Linked DNA regions of Drosophila melanogaster. Changing the gene in region 1 together with any one later gene gives a genetic interaction. Each region holds a gene or a part of one and is shown on either strand. Other genes may lie near its edges.

Region 1 (11,491 bases):
TCAATTGAGCTCCCGCTTTCAGCGTTCTTTGAAGAGCACTCGTTGGAGGAGCAGAAGAGCTTTTACGATAACCTGCATTTGGGTCCGCTCAAGATCCATGTCAGCTTCTCGATGGCCGGGTCGGACACAAAGGCGTTGCCCGGTTTCTTGGGCTCATTGGTCCAGGGCGTGGGTGTGACTCTAACGGACGTAAACGATGTTGTTTTCCGTCTGGCCTTCTTCGAGCGCGAGTATCAATTCTTCTCCCAAAAGCAGCTAATCAACGAGATCACCTCACACTACACTGGCCAAGCGTTAAAGCAGCTGTATGTGCTCGTCCTCGGACTTGATGTCCTGGGCAATCCCTATGGCCTAGTGGTTGGTCTTAAGAAGGGCGTCGAAGACTTGTTCTATGAACCGTTCCAGGTGAATCAAACTTAATTTTTAACTAATTCTATCGCTCACCTGTTTGATTTATCATTTTAAAGGGTGCCATCCAAGGTCCTGGAGAATTCGCCGAGGGTTTGGTCCTGGGCGTAAAGTCTCTTTTCGGCCACACTGTGGGTGGTGCTGCGGGAGCGGTTTCGAAGTAAGCTGCCCTTTAATCAAAGTACAGTCGGCCCTCTAATACCAACTTCAATTTTCAACCATTAGAATAACTGGTGCTATGGGAAAGGGTTTGGCTGCGCTGACCTTCGACGAGGACTATCAAAAGAAACGACGACAGGGTATTCAAAACAAACCGAAGAACTTCCACGAAGGATTGGCCCGCAGCAGCAAGGGTCTAGTGATGGTAAGACCTCATCTATGTGGTTCATCAGTTTGAAATCCATATGACTCTATAATTTTATCAGGGCTTTGTGGACGGTGTCACTGGCGTTGTAACCAAACCAGTGACTGGGGCTCGCGATAACGGGGTCGAGGGCTTCTTCAAGGGCCTGGGTAAGGGTGCAATTGGCCTGGTTGCTCGCCCCACCGCTGGCGTGGTTGACTTTGCCAGTGGCAGCTTCGAGGCTGTGAAACGGGCGGCGGATGCAAGCGAGGATGTGAAGCGTATGCGACCGCCGCGTTTCCAGCACTACGACTTCGTGTTGAGACCCTATTGCTTGATGGAGGCGACAGGGAATAAAATAATGAAGTAAGTGTCGATAGCTACTAGATTTTCAGCTGGAGTACAAAAAACGCGAACTTAACCAAATATACTCGCAGGGAAACCGACAAGGGTAAATTTGCCACCACAGATAACTTCATTCACTGTGAGGAGATTATCCAAAAGTCCGAGTACTTGGTGGTGACCAATTACCGGGTGATGTACGTGCAACGTAACGAGATGTTCGGCGTTTGGACGGTGAGTTTTGCTGTTAACTTTCAGTAGTTGGACCTTACTTATACTTCTTTTACACACAGTCTCTTTGGTCCTACCTATGGAACGAGATTAGCTCCGTGGCTGCAACGGCTCGCGGTGTCCAGTTCACAGTAAAGACGGATGGCAAGAAGGTACTTGGTCTGTTTAGCAGCAAGGAGTCACCTCGAAAGTTAGTGCTCGTGGCAGATGAGCGCAAACGTGACGCTCTTGTGGACATTATAGAATCTCAGCGCTCCGATCCCAATCCGTTAAGGGCCACCATCGCCTATCCGGCTCATAATTGACAATAGAACTGAATTTATTTCCCAACTATATTATAATCCAATCACATCCCCACGACAGCAGCAACGACATGGAAATCTACCTCGATCATCAAGATTTTTTCTGTCCAAGCACCGTGCGCCCAATTGGAAAACTCAAACTTACATGTCGCACTTTTACGTATGTTAACAACCATGGTTTTGATATTAAAATTTTATGTCAAAGTTATGTGACATCCGGAGAGTGGTTTTCACTAGCCTAAGGATTAAATCTACAATACAGAGACGAACGAGCTCTCCAGGACGTCGGATGTGAATAGCAGATGACGGATGTGCGGCAGTCTACACCTTCTTGAGAAAGCTGCTGGGAGTCGTGGCCAGGGGCATGATTGGCTCGTAGTTGTTGCAACCATCACTTTCGCAGAAGGATGTCAGCGAGGCGAGTGCATTGGCGGCCAAAGCTTCCACGCTGAACATGGTGGACAGGTGACCGCTACTCTCAAACTGGTTGATAATCATGTTCACCTTGCTCTTGGCCTCCGCCTTCAGACACGGCGACGTGGGCGGGCTGCCCGGCAGGCCGTGATACCGATCACCAGGACTTGCATCATAGCCCTCGCCCAGCTCCGCTTCCGTCAGCAGGTTCTCCTTCTCGCTCTGCTTGCACTTGGCGTTGGTTGGTGATGCACTGCCCGTGTTGGTCGCCTTCAATCCGGTGCTCTTGTTAAGGCGACTGAGGAACCAGTTTCGTGCCAGCTTGTCGCAGTCCTTGCTGACCGGACTGGATTGCGGTGAGGTGGTTGACTTGCGCTGCTTCTTCTGATCCTTGGTGGGCGTTTGGACGGGGCTGGTCAGGGGAGAGAGCATCTCCGGTTCACTACCATTCGAATAGCTCTTTTTCGCTGCCTTTTTCAGACGATCCGGACTGGGACCGGCCGCTGATAACTGGGTGGAGAGCTCACTGTGCACTGTTTTCACCCTGGCCTGGAAGTCCAGCGATATGCTTCCGTGCAAACTGGAAGGCTGCGGTTGCACCTTAATATCTCCCTCGTTGAGTAGTCCCAGGGATTCCAGCTCCCCACTTACAGATGCCACCCTGGAGGAGGTGTCCTGCAGCGGCTGTGCCGGGCATTTGGGCACATCGTACTCGAAACGTCGGGCGAGGGCGCTTGGGCTGTTGCTTTTCTCCGGCAGCTTAGGGAGCACCATGGAGGAGGAGTCTATGAGACCATACACGGGCGAGGGCTCCTCGTAGATGATATCCGCTGCTGTGTAGGTGGATTTCTTTTGGACCGGCGGCGTGGGCAGTTTCCGGGGCGGTGGAGTCTTTAACGCTGAATGAGCACCAGCATCTCCGCGGATGGCCGCCTCAATGGCGTGTATCCACTCTTTGGCATCGACTTCGTTGTTGGCCTGGTACACGAACTTCTTGTTGGGGTCGTCTGTTGTGATCTGGAAGCAGATGTCGCGCCGCTTCCCCTCTCCGAAGTGTTCAATCTCGATGGAGGAGCTCTTCAAGTAGAGCGTGCTGCTGGGTCGACAGGCGGTCGGGCCGTCGGCATAGCACAGCATCCAATCGTTGAGGATGCCACAGTAGCACTTGCGGGTCTGGTCGAAGAACAGCCGCTTGGGCACAATCCTCTGCAGCTGTCCGTACTTTGTTGACCTCTGCAGGGACAAGTGGCCAGCGGGCAGATCTGCATACGGGCAGTCAATGAACACCTCGTGGGTAAAGGTGATCGCCTGTTGCGCCTCATCCTCGTCCTGGCCCGCTCCCTGGCCCTGGCAAATCTCGTAGAGCTGCTGATGTGGCTCCTTGTCCTTCGCTGCCGGAACCGGTTGATTGACGGAGCAACGATCCAGGGATCCGCTGCTGCCCAAATCAATGTACTCCCGCGAGGCGGACACTGCAATTACGGGTAATTAGTGCTAATTGTAGGCATTAGAGAGGTACAGGTACAGTAGTGCTTCTAAAGCCTGGCTATCCGCTTTGCAACCATTATGCTGGTTTAAGTCTCTTTCAACAATGTACCGTTTTTTTTTAAATATAAATACATAATTGTAGAGCTTACAAAAGTTACCAGTATACTTTAGCATGGTTTATTTGGATTTCAGTTAGGGAAGCATGACTGTATGTAATATGTATGAGTAGTGTTCAGCACTCACGTGAGCTTTTCGAGGGTGACGGGGAGGCAAGCATCTCCAGATAACCGCTGGGACCGGTCTCCGCGCCCACCTTGCTATCGACACAGTCGACCAGGCTGGAACGATGGTTAGCTGCCGCCTGCTCGTCTGCGCATCCCAGCCCTGATCCCAGTTCCAGTCCCGATCCCGATCCCGATGCAGAACTGGCTGCAGCCAGCAGGATTTCGCAGCGGGCCAGAAGAGCGGCGGTCTGCTCGGCGGCCGTCACATGGAATAGGTTCGAGGTGTTCTCGTACTCCGAGGTCTCCAGCGAGGCTCGGAAGTGGGCGCGGACATCTGAAAGCAAGCAGAGGGGAGGATCGTAAGCTCTTCAGCTGGCTAAATAAGGCGGCGGCCCCATCGGCTATTATTTTTAAACGCATCATTGAGCCTAATGGCGGGGCAGTTGAGCAACAGAGTAGCTTTCTTGGGCGGGCAATTAGTGGGCCAGTGGAGTGGTGGTGCCTCTTCTGCTCCGACTTCTGCAGCCGTGACTCACTGGCTCTACCGTTCCCAGCCAGAAGTACGGTCACAAACGCATGTGGGTATGTACATGTACATGTACATAAGTGACCTCATAAGCTCTTGCTCAAGAGTCAACTGCGAATTGACCGGGGCAATTAAAAATAATTTCACTGACCAAGAAAGTTAACTCTGGTGTCTGTTACCCCACCCTCTGTCCAGAAATGCCCACATCCACAGAAAACCAGAAGACGCTGAAATTTGCCCGAAATCTTGTTAAAACTCAAGCACGCAAAGCTCCGGTGAACTGCTCTTAAAAGTAATATGTCCAAATATGGAAATAAGAAAAATATCCAAAAGTCGTGCTGGCGAAATGCGAACTGGAAATGCCCTTAAGAATTTGAGATCTTAACCAGAAGAGCTTGGTCACTTGGAGTTTTTTTTGGCAACTTTCCATCATTTAATTGTTAAAAACGCCTTGGACAAATAATAGTTTCAGCTTGAAGCCAAATTCTTATTATATATAGTTAGGAGCGATAATTTTTTTTTTAAGGAAGTGGAAACAAGACTTAACTTAACCGTTCAGTTAAAACGTTTCGTGCAAAGGCAACTTTTTGCTCCCAAACTATGGATAATTGGGGATCTTGACAGTGCATATCTTTCCAACCAAATGAATTAGGGAAAAGGGCATTAAAAGTATAATTTGTTTGATCTGTATGCCAAATCAGCACTCTGACTTTGGCCTTTAAGTCTACAGCAGAGGAAAGATTACTAGGTGCAAACTAACCAATTTAAAATGGGATAATAATGAAGAAGTTTATCCTATAAAACATTATAAGTATGTATATTTGTTATCAATAAGCTTGTCTCGCTGTAATATGTGTTGCAGAAACCAACTGCTAAGTTGATAATTGTGTCTTAATCAGGATCGTTGGGAAACTCCTCAGAAACTCATTTGTACGATATATGTATCAATGTGAGGCATACACAAACAAATATAAATTGAAGCAACAGTCATCGGAGGAGGGTGGATATACATACATATATGTACGTGCTCCTCTATTCCCCTGATCATGCCCTGAGAGCCACTGAACCGAGACCCGAGAAAGTGGAACCGACTAGGGAAGGTCCAAGATGGGCTAAAAGAGCGCTTAAGGCTTAGTTCTGCGGCATGTCCAATCCGCTGTTTATTGTCTTTCTCGTCCACATACACATGTAGAATGATTTAACGAAATAACCACAAATATATATATGTACATATATATAAACGATTCGGGGGAACAGCGCTCCAAAGAGGAGCCCAATTGGGACTCGATAAAGTGTACGAAATACGCGCGAGGCGAAGGAGGAGGAAGAGGAGGAGGGCCACTAAAATATCCAGAAGAGTCCGATGGTCTGGTCACAGGCCAAAAGAAGAACAAAAGAGTATTAAGCTCGGGCGCCTGCGGAATGAGTCAATACTAATACTCCGGCACTGGGTTATTGTTAATGGTTATGTTTTGGATCGCCTCCTCCTCCTCGTCCTCCTCTTCCGCCTCCTCCTCCTCCATCTCTTCTCAACTTTGAGTCGGTGTGTAATTTTTTGATGGCGCTGTTTGCCTGGCGAAATTAACAAAGTTTCTGTTGATCTATCTCACACTAACTGGCTTCAATTTTGCTTTGCTGATTTTAGCTACACGCAGAAAAATAGGTATGCCATAAGTAGAATTTTCTTTATGAGATAGGAACACTATCGATGGAAACAAAAAAAAAAAAAAAAAAAAAAAAAAATCATAAAAATAAGTTTTGAAGAAATATGAGATTGGCTATTGTAAACCAAGGATTATTTTGCTGCTTTCCAACCGCTTTTAAATAGTTGTCTTAAACAAATACGAGTATCTCATAAGCACTTTTATGTGCTGATAAATAGCTACTTATACTATTAACACCCAAGACCGATTCTTTGAGAAAAACCTGGCTTACCCAACAAAAACTGCTCAATTTCGGCCAGCTTGGTAGTTGTTGGTTTCGGATTCATGGCTTCTAAATAGTATTGTATCCGCACTTTTGTATTCCGATTTTAGTGTTCAGTGTTAATTTGAGGCGATTTGCGTTAATGTGCGTTGAGTGCTAGTTGTTGTTTGGCCGGCCGAACGCTTGATTTCTCGCCCGGGCTTTATTGTGGCTTCTTTGCGATCTGGATCGGAATAGTCATCTGTATCTGTATCTGGCATATCCACCAACTGCACACCACACGGCGTTTTGCCTTAGAAATTAACAGTTTGCTGTCAAAATGGGATAACACATTTGTATTTTTATTAGATCACATGCACAGCAGAACCGATCGGATGCACTATCTTCGATTGCGATGACGGGAGTGGAGCGCGGAACGGATTGCGACCGGAGTGCTACTGAAGGTACACGCATATACCCATTCCCGGGCTATCAGATGCTCGATGCTGCCGTGCCACGGCAACTACCTCCCCCGCTGAGGAGTCGACCTATAAATAGCTGGGACATCGATGCAGCAGCACGGATATCCAGATACCTAGACATCCAGACAACCAGATTTCCAGACATTCAGACATTCAGATACAATGCAATCTCTATTGCGCTCTATTCTCTATATTTCGTTTTTACTATTGTCTGCTCTTTTCGCCTTTTCGGTTGCACGCTTCGTTTGGCGCCCCATGGAAAATGAAAATCAAGCGATGACGTTATGTATCTCTGGGTATCTGGCGGCTAGAGTATCTGGATTCGCTGATGGGGAAACAGTGTGTGCTTGCCATTAAGTGTCATTACGACATCCCCATTTATTGGGCCTCTGCACTTGTCGGGTGTCTCCGTTTTTGTTTATAATTTTCAGTTTTCACTCCTCTGGCGTGCCTGTCATTTGCGGTTACCACTGTGCTGTGGCCAAGAACCGCATACAAATCGGGCGGCCACACGCAGAGGAGCTCGGACCCGGGACTTGAAACTGGGGACCTGTGCCTGCGACGGGGCCCCTTGTTTGGGGCCAAGCCCTTTAATTGTGACTCATCTGTGGGCGACGCGTGTCGCCACAAAGAAGCGACCGTCTGTCCGGCGAGAAGATGCAAATACTCTCGCACTTCTGCTTACCCAAAATTGTCTCTGCTACAAAGAAAAATATCTCAAACTGACCGATTTGAATACCCAACTTATTAGTGTGCAAATATTGAAATAACTTCTATATTTCAGAACGTTATTGTCAGTTAGGTTGATTGATAGATAGATAGATAGATAGTCAGTCAGAGAGTTTCTCGAACTTTATGGCCATGTTCTACTGTACAAGCGAACTGCTGACCATTTCTCTGGGCCTCACTATATACACCCGCTGCCATTTCTACGTGTCCAGAGACAGCTTTTACTTTTCGGTTCTTTATTTTTTATCGTGACCATAAAACAGAAATGTAATTTGATTTGCACCGAGCGGCCGAAGTATTTGCTTCCTTTGTGCCAGCCGTTGAAAATATGTACACATATATAGTATATTTATTGATTCAGAACATTTGCAACTGGAGACCGCGACACCTTTGTTTGCAATGGATAATCGAATCGAATGGCGAGCTCCCAACTGGCTGTCGTTCCGCGGAAAAGCCAAACAAACTGTTGGCCAGCTGGCTTCGCCGCGCGAGACTTTTCCGGCCCCGAAACTCAATGGAAACCTGTGCGCAGGCGTGTCCGACACCCCACTGCCACTGCCATCGCCATCGCCAACGCACTCCCCACTCCGCCGCGCGCTCCTTGCGCACTTCCGGTCATTTCCGATCCCCCCGAATGGCCGGCTTCCTGCTGCCGAGGAGCCCCCAATAACGAATTACGAAATGCATCCACGCACCGATTTCGGTCTTGCATCCGGTTTTCCACTGCGTTCTGACTACGTTGACACCTTTTCGCTCGCGGGCGAACTGTTCACCGCCGGAGCCAAGAAGCGAGCGCGACTTTCCGGCTGTTGCGCCACCATGAATCACTCGAGCTTAACTGCCCGACTTGGAGCTCGTCCGCTCTAGGAGCGCCAGCTTGGGCCGCCGCCAGCCGATGGCCACCCGAACGCAGCCGAAGTGCCCTCGGCTTTGGATCTCTCTCTCTCTGCACGGCGCGAAAAAATTGAACTTAAATTCGGTACGCAAAATTTCAATTCTAAAGAAATTACTCATTCATAACTATAAGACAAGTTTAAACAGCCTACGATTATGTTAACCATTCTAAGAAGGTTCGCTAAGAAGTAGTGCGATTTATATGACCAACTTCTATCAAAATTTAGATGACTTTTTTAGTGTTGCAGTGAAATATTATACGACTTTGCTTTGCTTTTTCGGTGGAATAAATAGCCGGCCGGCTTGGCGGAGTTGGATGCCCACGCCCAAGCGGCATGTCCCATTCGGATACCCCATCCTGGAGTAGGCACCCGAAAATTGTACCGCTCTTGCCACATTTGGAGAGACGATCACGCTGCTGATATCATATTTTAGAGAGCATCATGCCCATTTTGGCAATGGCAAAACAGGCCGCTACACTACGGTCGGGCTCCCATAAGTAGAACGACTTAAAGGTGCTCAATCTGCCATCAAATACATTGTTGCGCACAATGTACGCTCGATAGTCGAAGTTCTGGCTCCCCTTTCTCAGATATTTAATTACAGAATATTATTGTTTACAACAATATAAACATTGCGAATAATTGTACATATTTGTATTATAATTTCAAGACTCTCTATTACAATTTATGTTTGTATATCACATTTTCTTAATATTAAGTAACTGTCCTTAAAATGGCATTATTTCCCTAAGGTAAACTTTTTTTTCCTCATTCTGCATGTGCATGCATACAAGATGTTCGTGCCGAGTGGCTAGTCTGTGGAACCAGAAATCTTCTAATGTGGCAGGCAGATGTTGTTGCCGCAGCTGCCGAGAAATCCGAGTCTTCGGCACAGAAAGGGGTAAGCAGAGGGCCATGGGTCGAAGCCGAGTCTGGAGCCTTCTCCTGTGCGTGTGCTCTTCACAATCGGCGGCAGATAAAGCGGCCCGTCCAGAGCCGATCGGCTGCCCTTTTTGGGCAGCAGTTTTGAAGGACGCGTTCATGGGATGCTGAGGCAAACAACTCAATTTTAATTAAACGTTGCGCTCCGAGAAATAAATTAAGCATGCTGACCAGGTTGGCTGCGCAATATCTGGACAACCTTGGGTCCCCCCGCCTGGACTTGTCTCCGGCAGCAGTGATAAGTGCATAGCCGTTGCGTGATTCGACCCAGAAGACCGGGCGAGTGGATAACAGGTTCCCACCTCGGCTGGCTTTATCAAGCGGCACAAAGAGTCTGATTCTAGTATTGTGCTAACGCTTAATTATGTGCCACAACAAGTATTTTCATTCTTTGTACTTTAATGCATGGCCGGAGCTGTCTTCTGGCCGCTACTTGAGGAACGCTTGGAGGCGATTCTGCTGCGTTTTGCTGGCGTCTTTAAACGCGTTCGACTTCAGCTGGGCAGCTATTTGCAGCAGTACGTTCTGCTTCTGGGTTTTGGACTGCGTTTTTGGTGCGGTGGGCGCTGGCTGGGCAGGCTTCTTCTTTTTCTTCTTCGATGTCTGACTTGGGTTTTGGGAAGCTATGCCGACTGGTTGGGACGCGTTTTTGGATGGAGCTGGCGATTTCGAAGGCTGCTGCTGTCGCTGAGGCGCTTTTTGCTGCATTTTCAGGCCTGCATTGATATCTTTATTCGGCGCCTGAGACTTCTTCGTTTTGGCCTTCTTTTTGTTTTGGCCCGCTGGCGCAGGTTGTGTGACTACCATTGTCTCCTCCGTGGCTTTTACTTTGGCGCGCTTTCGGCTCTTCTCCAGAGCCAACATTGTCTTGTGATGGCAAACATCGCAGTCCACGGCCTGCAAAATGAATTGGGTTGTGGTTAGAGTGGCAGGAATGGGTCCATATGTACACACACAAAACACTGTATAAAGATCTTTCAGCTTCCTTGGTGTTAATTTAAATTATTATTTGCCCAGAAGCTTGATACATAAATTTATATTGCGCTTATAAGGTACTAAACTATCCATCTATACCATTCATCCATGGAAGCAAAGAGATATTATATTTATATTTATGAAATTAAAGAAATAAAAGTATTTTTTCCCACAATCTAGACATATTCTAGACATTCTATTAGCTCCTGGTTCTCACCATGTTACTGGCCATACGCTTCTTGAGCCACTTGGCCCGTTTCCTGGCCCCGCTGTTCATCTCGCCCTTTGCCATCTTGCCCTTCACGGCTTCCAGCTTGGTGATCAGTCTCCGGTTCTTAGCACTCTGCATCAGTTCTTGTGGCTGGAGGTGGAGCTGGTAGCGGCCACCTGTCCACTGGTTCCCGCAGCGGGAGCACATGCGTGCGGGTCCAAAGCTCTCCTCGGGCAACTGGACATTGTGCCGGGCCAGCTTCCTACAGGTGGTTCTGGGTTGTTTTGGAAACGAAATTTTAGTGGGTGCTTAAGGAATTGACAACGGATCTCACATGTAATAGGATTTGAGGATCCGTTCTGTGTGGGTTTGGTCGGTCAGCTTGGAGGCACAGTTCCACAGCAAATTTACTGTTTTTTGGTCACTCATGGCGGACGCTGACAATTTACTGAAAAAACAAATTCTATATATTTAAGCGTAATTATTTCCAGAAATGTTTTCCTACATTAATTAACGAAACCCCAACAGAAAAGCCAAACTTAAAGAGGTAGCCTAAATAGAGGAAACATGCCAAAATTCTAGCCAAAACATACAGCACTGACGGCACAACGTGTGCAGCTCACCAGAGAAATCAAAGGTGCATTTCAAGCCTAATTCCAGGTTCTTAACTTACCAGCTATGCGTGATAAATATTGAAAGTGATACGTGGTAAATTACGGTTGGATATTCATATTATAACATCAATAAAAACCCTTTTTGATAACGCTTTAAGAAAAATAAACAGCTGTCGGCCGAAATTAAACCGGTAAATATGTGTGATTGGTGAACCGGTTTAACCATTGATGTGCGACAGAGCTGCCACCCTGCCAAATACGACAAAGTGGCAGCCCTTGGCAACTCACCACTGGCATTTTCTCCCCAATTTCGGTATTTCGTCGTGGTCAGTTGAGGGTCCTATGGCATTTGCGCGTCGTTTTGAAATTATTCAACACATCTGAAAAGCCAACCGCCGAAACGAGCAGAAGCGACGCGCAGAATTTCGAATGCAAACGGACGCGCAACCCGCCAGTGAA
Region 2 (8,281 bases), on another chromosome or scaffold:
GTCTGGTAGTTGTTCTCTCCGTAGATCTCCGACGTGACCGTGAACATGATCCGGTTATGTATGCGGCCAAGAGCATAGGGTATATGAATTTAATGCTGCGGTCGGTCGAGACATCTTCCCCGGGCGTCGTGGTCGATTACAAAATCGGTATCGCCAATCGGTAGGCGGAAATTGTGTTTGCATTCTGTCTTTGCACAGTGGATGGGGACACATATATTTTAATAATTTGAAATTATTTAAATTTAGTGTTTATTATTTATGCACCGAAGAACTTTTGAAAATGTTTAATATAAACTATAAACTCGTTTCGCTTAATTTAAGGCAAGCATATATAATCACAGTACTTAATCGTATCTCACGGCTAAGTTCTAATAATTTGTGCACATCTTAAGATTAGAACCAGAGCTCTATATACATATATGTATTGAAATTATTTATTATATTTAATATACAACTTAGTCTTCTTAAAAGGGAATCACTTTAAATTACTATGACTTTTTGATGTTTTTCATAGTGAAAATGTATTATTCAATCTCGAGCCTAATGAGAGATAGTTCGAGTGATTGTATACCACTGTGCCGATCAGCTGTTTGCAGAGCTGGCTACCGAAGGAAGGCAACCTGGTCACACTGGATATTTAGGCGTGCACCGTCGGCAGACAAAACTATCAAATCGAAATTTAAATTATGGAAGACGAGGACGATCCCGTCGTGGAGGAGGTGAGTATGTGAGTGGCACTATTATTACCATGAGAACAATGCCCGCCCATCCCCACCAGATTCCCGTATTCCTGTCGAAGAACCTGAGGGACAGCCTGTATCTCTTTCAATACCCCACGAAAACGGAGCTCCCCAACCACGATGACTCCGTGATTGTCAATTGTTGTGTAAAACCAATCGCCCAGGAGGTGAAGGTGGACTTCGGCCTGGACATTGAGTCGGCCCACTTCGATCGCTTCAAGGGCGAGCAATTTGCGGTGGCCGCCGACGGAAAGAACACCTATGGAGCAGTTCCACCAAAGGGTCAGGAGCGACCCACCTACAAACGTGGCATCATGGACAAACAGGCCTTCACAAGCTCGCGTTCCATAACCGATGTGGCCAAGTACATAGTGGGCATCTTTACGGATCGGGAGGTGCATCTGTCGCCACTTACATCCATAGTCCAAATGCGACCCGTTCTCAGTCACTTCGATAAGGACGACAAGCGCAAGAAGGCGGAACTGAAGGCTCAAACGGAGGACACGGACGATGACGAGGTGCTGCAGCAGGTCACGGTTAAATTTGCACGAGGAAATGCCAAAAACAGCGGAAAGGAGCAACGTGTCGGCACCTACGACAGTTTCGTCCAGCGAATTGCGGATGAGCCGTGGTGCGAGGCCTACTGGCACTCGAGGGGCACGCCCACCGCCGAACTGGAGCGCCAGAAGCTCTTTGCCACCAGTCATCACGGCAGTTCCTCTTTGGCTCTCGCTCCTGACGAATATCTTCGAAAGCTTCTGCCCTACGACGAGCATGTGCAGACGGTAGCCCCAGCAGCTGCTTCTGCTGCCGCCCAAGTACTTCCCGTCTACAACAAGGCCATGCTTAAGTCTATGCCGCTGCTGGAACAGCTTACAGTGCTACTGAGAGATGCGCGGATGCTCTCGTTCAGCGACGTCATTAGTATTCTCGCGGAGCACGTGGATCCGCATGTGGCTGCCGACAAGGTGCTGGCTTTGCTGCCCCAGGTGGGCATCCTACTGCACGGCAACTGGGTGCCGAAATCCGAGGTGGTCTTTCCCGAGAAGGTGCTTTCCCATGCGAACGGTGTGTCCGCAGAGCAGATGATTCGCGCCAGAGATTATATAGTGAGTTATAGTATGGGTGTAGCGATCACTTATCTTGTACTAATCTCCTCAAATCCATCCGCAGCTCTTTCGTTTCTCCCGCACGCCCTACCTGTTCCGAGCTCAGGTAATGGCCGCCACCCAGTTACCTCCTGCGGAAACACTTGACGTTTTGAAGACTGTGGCCCGGGTGAATAACACAAAACGGTGGGAGCTGCTACTGCCACCCGACAAGGAGTTCGAGCAAAAGTACCCGGAACTGGTCAGCCGACAGGAGTACCACTGGACCGCTTCCGAGCAGCACTACAATGAAATGGACTGGGCTAGGGAAACCAAACGTGTTCGGAAACGTTCGACGAGGAAGAGCGAATCCCAGTCACTGACTTCAGCCATGCCGCCGCCCGCAATGAATCACTCAACAACTGGCTCCGTGGATGCGTAGCATCGGATGATGATCTCCCAGCGGCGGAGAATCGGCAGCACGATTATACATCTAGGCACTATTAAAAAGACCAACAATTTTACTTTGTTAAAGAAGTGCTTTTGTAATCTCTTCTGTAATCTCTCCAGCCAAGGCGTTCCTATTGAATTTGGTCACCTGGTAAATCTTGGATCCTGCTGACTTTCTCAGCTGCTCCACCAAAGCCAATGTTGATTTCTCGGGTATGGTGACCAATAGGGCCCGCTTTTTCTTCAGGAGATCAGCCATGGCCGACTCAAATCGCTTGCTAAGCAGCTCCATTTTGCCCACTTCATCCACGACCAGGAGATCCGGCTCTGGTTGGGAATCCTGTGTGCCAAGTACTGGCAGAGCGAGACTGTCGAAGTCCTGCACAAACACCGAATACTCTCCCACTTTGGGTCGTCGCAGCTGGTCCCCGGGATTCTTGCGAGATAGGATTGCTCGTTTTCCGGCTAACGTGACCACGTCGAAGCCGATTCTTTGGCTGGTGCCCTCACCTCGCATTTCCTCTGTGTAGAATCCTTGAAGAATGCGTCCTCTATCCTGCAGAGCCGAGCATATTTTGTGGACCAGTGTAGTTTTACCCACTCCTGAAAATCATGATTACATACATAATAAACAAATAGCAAATATTTTCCCAGCTAAATTTGCACCTGGTGGCCCAGTTAGTATAATGGTTATATTTTTTTGGTTCTTCATGTCGGCTTATTATTACAATACCAATTTTATAGAATATTTTTGTGGTGAACTAGATCAACCAGGAATGGATCATTGGCAGTTCCAAAATAAATCTTAATTAATGCACACATATTTAGATTTAATGAGTTTTAAATTTATCAAAGAAAGAAAATGCTTATGTATAATAATGAGCATAAACTTAAGATTGTTTATGCCCTTCTTAAATAAGATGAAAACAACAATATATTTTAAAATAAAACGGTCGTCTTAAAATGCCACATTTGATGCGGTATATTTTTTGAATACGATAGCGTATTTTGAGTTGCATGCTCTATGGTCACACTGCGGTGCCCCCCAGCACGTCCACACTGTTTCCAAACGTCGAACGACGAGTGCGTCGTGTTTTTCGTCGCGCGTGAATTGAAAATCCGTAATTCCGAGAATATTCGTAATCCCCCTCCGATCCGCACCAACTGTTGCTCGCGATTCGAAGTGCTGGCTCTGAAGTATAATATACGAAGGTCATTCAATTACAATACGAGTGAAGTTTCAACTCGCAGCAAGCTGCATTTTCAGTTCTTATTGTGAGATTCAAAGTGGTTCTGCCTGTTTCGCTGTTTTATCACCCTCTCCACCACCTTCCCTCATTCGCGCGAGTGCGTGTGCGTGGCGGGGCTATAATGTTTTGGCCACAAAAGCACATCGATTAGGAGTGCAGCCGATCCCCGCTAAGGTTATAAACAAAACATGTCCGAGGCCGATCTGAAGAATCTATCCCAGAACTCGGATGGCGACCAGGAATTGCTGCTGCATCAGACCACGCAGTCCCTGCTGATGGCCAGCTCCATAATGTTTGTGGGAAACCAAGGAGGGCCGGGCGGTTCCGCTGGGGGTGTCGCCCCACCTGGACCCGTTTCCCTGCCCCTGCCCCTCTCCATCAACATGCCCCATCACCATGTGCATGCGATGCCCTACAATGTGGACGAGCTGCTCCGGGAGAACAATGCCCTGCACGCCAAGATCAAGGAGTTGAGTCTGGAACGCGATCGCCTGCTCTGTGAAGTGTCCAATCTGCGACTGGAGCTGGACATGTCGGAGCTCAAGCGACTGCCCGTCGATCTCGATGATAAGTGAGTGCCCACCAATGTTTACTATCTAGTAATATATTCAAATATCTGTTAAATAAGGGTGAATTAATGGCATATCATATTTTCCTATTGGACATCCCGCTTAAATGGAAACTTCCAATAGGAAGAGATGCACTTTAAAATTGCGGTTGCAAAATAATTTTCATGGCATTTGGGGGCCAGAAAAAATTTGCAATGTTCAGCAATTTGATTTCAACATATTTAAAAAGAATTTTGTCGATATTGTTCTAGATGTGTCAACGAGCATTTTACATATTACAAAGAACAATTTCTCACTAAATACTCTGTAAAATGCGGTTGTTTATTTTGTGATCTCATTAAGAGCCAAAATATTCCATTAAGTAATTATAATCAGTCAGGAGATAGTATTCATCTTTAAATTGATTATATTTTGAAACAATATATATTTAAAATCTTTTCTGCTATACTACCTACTTTTAAAGCTCTTCTTTAATGCTTCTTATCAGAGCGGCATTTCGCTTTTAAGTTTCAGGTCAAGGCCTTTGATATATCTGTATATATTGTAGTTTTATTTATACCATAATTTAATCTGCACATAGGCCAGTTTTTTATTTCCCTTTTCTGATTAGAAATTAACATTTTAGCTGATAAGAAAAAGAGCTGGAATACATAATTCATTCAGTGAAGATCCTTACTTTATATTTTGTGGTTGTGTGATCTTAAAACAAAAACTTGAAGCCAAAGTACCATTTCTTCTTCAGCACTCAAACAAAACCACAAAAATCATTGATTTTTTTTTTGGATCGCCATTTTCGGCTGCATTTCCGTGACCCCCAACTCCAATGTTTCCTTGCCCCCGGGTTGAGTCAACTTCTCGTTGAGTCACATTCATTCGTCCCCTTGTCCTTGCCACCTTGGCAGCTGCAGGCTGACAAGTCGGAGTGCGACTTCTGGTTTTTGCAACCCCTTTTTGCACGCCGGTCTACCTGTGGGCTAATCGACACAGTCGTGGTCGCAAAATGAAGTGCACCGTGGCGATAGGTATTTCCGTACATAAAAAACTCATGCTTATCTGTAACAGAACAATAGATAATGTTGTATTTATTTCGTTGCCAAATTGAATGAGTCAGTTGTGCTGTGATAGAACTACAGTTGCTCTCCGCTTATCGATCGACCAGAATTCTCTATTTGTTTAGTTCTGCTGATAACTAATGTGTAGTGCTACTTCGGGCGATAAGAGCCGTCTCAGGGAAATTCAATGTTAAGACCGAGTTTCGATCACTTATTTGGGGTCTTTCCAGGGGAGATTAACCTCACAAATGCATGGGCAAACAAGAAAAGAAATATTATAAACCATTCGCCTGGCATTTTGCCATTGACAGTCGAATAAAGTTGGGAGTATCTTAATATTCGTACCTGACTTTGCTTTGCATGCGGTCATGCCCCACCGCAGACAATCTTTTAAATACAGATATTTTCGTATATATGATGTATACATATACAAAGTGGGCGCAAATAAAGCGCAGTTATCTTTTAACCGTTTTCTTTATTTTCGGGGCTTCTTGGCCTCTAAGGTCTGCTAGTAGTAGAATCGTGGGCTCTTCCAATTATTCGCTTAGCGTTTTCTGTTTATTTTTTATGTCTCGGTTTTTGCAGCTCACCTTCGCCAAAACTTTGAAACACAAAACACCAGAAACTTTTAAACTCGCATTCGTCGAATGTATAGATACTCTTTTAGAATTGTTATTTATTGTCACGTTTTTATATGAATAATCACTTCAGATATCTTATATATAAATTAATCTTTCAGATCAGATTATTTTGAATAATGATAATTTAGTTGATAGAGCATAAATGAAATTGGGAAAAATGCAGGATTTGCTTATCAAACGTTCCCTGCATATAAGGTACATTTCCTCATTTGTACCACCATTTTTTACGTTTTAATTAGCGAATCTAAATGTAATGTAAAAATGCTTACCACGGCTTAGATCCACTTTCAGATTAGAGTTGTACAAGATAAGCTGCACGCACCTAGTTGGCATATCTTTCATTATGGAAAAGAGTATGTCACGATGAGACATTAAACTCAAGATCAGAGATGTTGTTGAAATTGTGCGGGTAGCTTTCTGTCTTATGAGTACGGTTCCGCTGCTCCATGAATGTTGTTGTTTCTCTCTGTACACTGGGAGAACTTACGTGACTCACAATTAAAGCATTTTATTTATTACCATCATTAAAAAATAAACAAAAACAAAATGATTATACACATTTTCGTTTGATTTATACATATATTCTTAAAGCTTAAAAGTAACCCGAAAATAATTATATTTTTTAACAGTGTAGTCAACTATGTCGTTTCTTGGCTTGCCGCAGAGTTCAACTCATTAGCCAGTTATCATCATCTAATAAAGCAGACACACGCACCACAGAAAAATGGGAAATGCGGAAAAGGGGGCGGAGGAAAACACTTGCCCATTTGAAAAGTGCTTTTAACTTTGCTCTGGGTCTCTCTTTGTGATAATTAAGCGAGTGTAGTGGAGAGTCTATTAATTTCGTACGACCCCCCTTTTAAAATGGCAATGGTGGGGCTTTCCAGGGGGTGGAGCGGAGTGGTCAAGATGGGGCGGATGGAATAACGTTTTCCGACTACTTAATGAGTGTGTACTGTATTCTGTAACTTTAGTAGGTGAAGTAGTTCTCTGGCCTTCTTGCCACTACTACTCTGCTCTTTCATTTGCATGCAACATTTGGAGTGAAGACTGCGGTTGCCTTATTACAAAAGGGGGCGTAGTTGAGGGGGGGGGGGGATACCGGGGGACTGGAAGTTTGATGGTCAAAATGGAAGCCATGCGTGCTGCGAACATCTTTGAGGTTTGAGAGCAAAACTTTTGTTTTAATTAAAAGATATGCCAAATGGACATGCAAGTTGGGGGCTGGATGATCTAAATGCACCAGCAGATGGGAACTACTTTGAAAATGGGGGCGGAGTTGAAAATGAGATAGTAATTGCACTAATAACATGCTGATTTTTAAGTGATTCCCACTGAAGCCTTTGTTTCAGCCACAGATCCAGATGGTTTCTTAATTGCGGTCACTTTTTTTGTGGTGTTAACCCAATTCAGTAAAGGGAGTACTTCTATTTCTTTCTATAGTTTGCGAAAGATTTTTTGTGGTTTGTTCGATTATTTCCCTCAGGGTTAAAGTCCAGAAGAAACTATTTAAAATGTTGTGTGTTGTGGTGAATCCTATTACCGCTTTTAAAACTATTTGAACTAAAATGTAATATGTAAATTGAATATATGTAATCCTTGAAGTATATAGGCCTTCTAAAATGTATTTTCTAAAGACCTAACAATTTATAAGTTCAAGCTGATGAAAAACAAATTGAATACAATTTCCTTCTGCTATTTCAATTATTATGACAAAGTACTTATCCATCACCAGTAATTTCTCTCAATTATTTCAGATGCGGAAGTGTTTAGATACCATAACTTTCCTTCCAAAGTTCTCGATTGCAAATTAACACAATTAAGTTGATCCCTTTTCTGGGTTGTGATCCAGTGATCCCCGAACACATCTGGATAGTTGGGGCAAGCATGTGTCGGTGCTTCAGACTAGACCATTTATTTATTATGCATGCAATAAACGAAAACAAATTTCTCGGTTTTCAATCGAAAAGTGAGATCATCAACGCGCTGGCCAGCCGAAGAACAATAATTAAAATCATTTATATGAAATGTTTAATAAACAATGTCATTGCCAAACTGTGCTGGCTCATGTGTTCCAACTAAACTGTCAAGTCACAGCTGAAAAAAAGCGCTTGCGAAAAATTCCAGTTGGCTTAAAGTCTTCGGGGGATTAGTTTTCAAACGAAGCATGTAATCAATTAGAGGGCGTCCCGCTTGGGATTTAGCTTTTTGCATATGTTACGTACTTGTTTCCTTTTTTCCTTTTTATTTGTATTTGTATTTGTATTTGTATACAACGCGCGCAGCTCGTTACGCAGATACTAAGAGATACAATGATTGATGAGACATGCGTTCACGTTGTCCCTGCCCAAAGTGACAACTTCCGAGTCGATTTGCCCCATTCAGCGGAACTCGCTACCAATTCCAAATCCGAAATGCCAACTAGAACGCTTATTGCTCCAGTGGCTTGTCAATCGTGTTTGGCATTGACAGAGGCCCAGTACGCTTTACA

Evidence for each region.
Region 2: of blow (region 1) and siz, changing one enhances a phenotype caused by changing the other (phenotypic enhancement), as found in Drosophila melanogaster (one study listed by BioGRID).

The regions. Positions count from the first base shown.
Region 1 is NT_033778.4:7,578,843-7,590,333, forward strand, and holds blow (blown fuse), read right to left. Parts: upstream 8,238-11,491; 5' UTR 8,090-8,237; intron 6,644-8,089; exon of another isoform or gene 6,516-6,643; 5' UTR 6,269-6,515; coding exon 6,214-6,268; intron 5,381-6,213; exon of another isoform or gene 5,327-5,380; coding exon of another isoform or gene 5,293-5,326; intron 4,087-5,292; coding exon 3,772-4,086; intron 3,513-3,771; coding exon 1,948-3,512; 3' UTR 1,646-1,947; downstream 1-1,645. Other genes in the region: Vps13 (vacuolar protein sorting 13), read left to right, coding at 1-405, 468-568, 634-772, 834-1,117, 1,189-1,327, 1,387-1,629; CG1360 (uncharacterized protein), read right to left, coding at 9,662-10,129, 10,425-10,692, 10,753-10,847.
Region 2 is NT_037436.4:21,031,203-21,039,483, forward strand, and holds the start of siz (schizo), read left to right. Parts: upstream 1-3,332; 5' UTR 3,333-3,716; coding exon 3,717-4,099; intron 4,100-8,281. Other genes in the region: CG10584 (uncharacterized protein), read right to left, coding at 1-47; Polr3E (RNA polymerase III subunit E), read left to right, coding at 687-719, 779-1,849, 1,914-2,270; CG10581 (uncharacterized protein), read right to left, coding at 2,358-2,881, 2,945-2,990.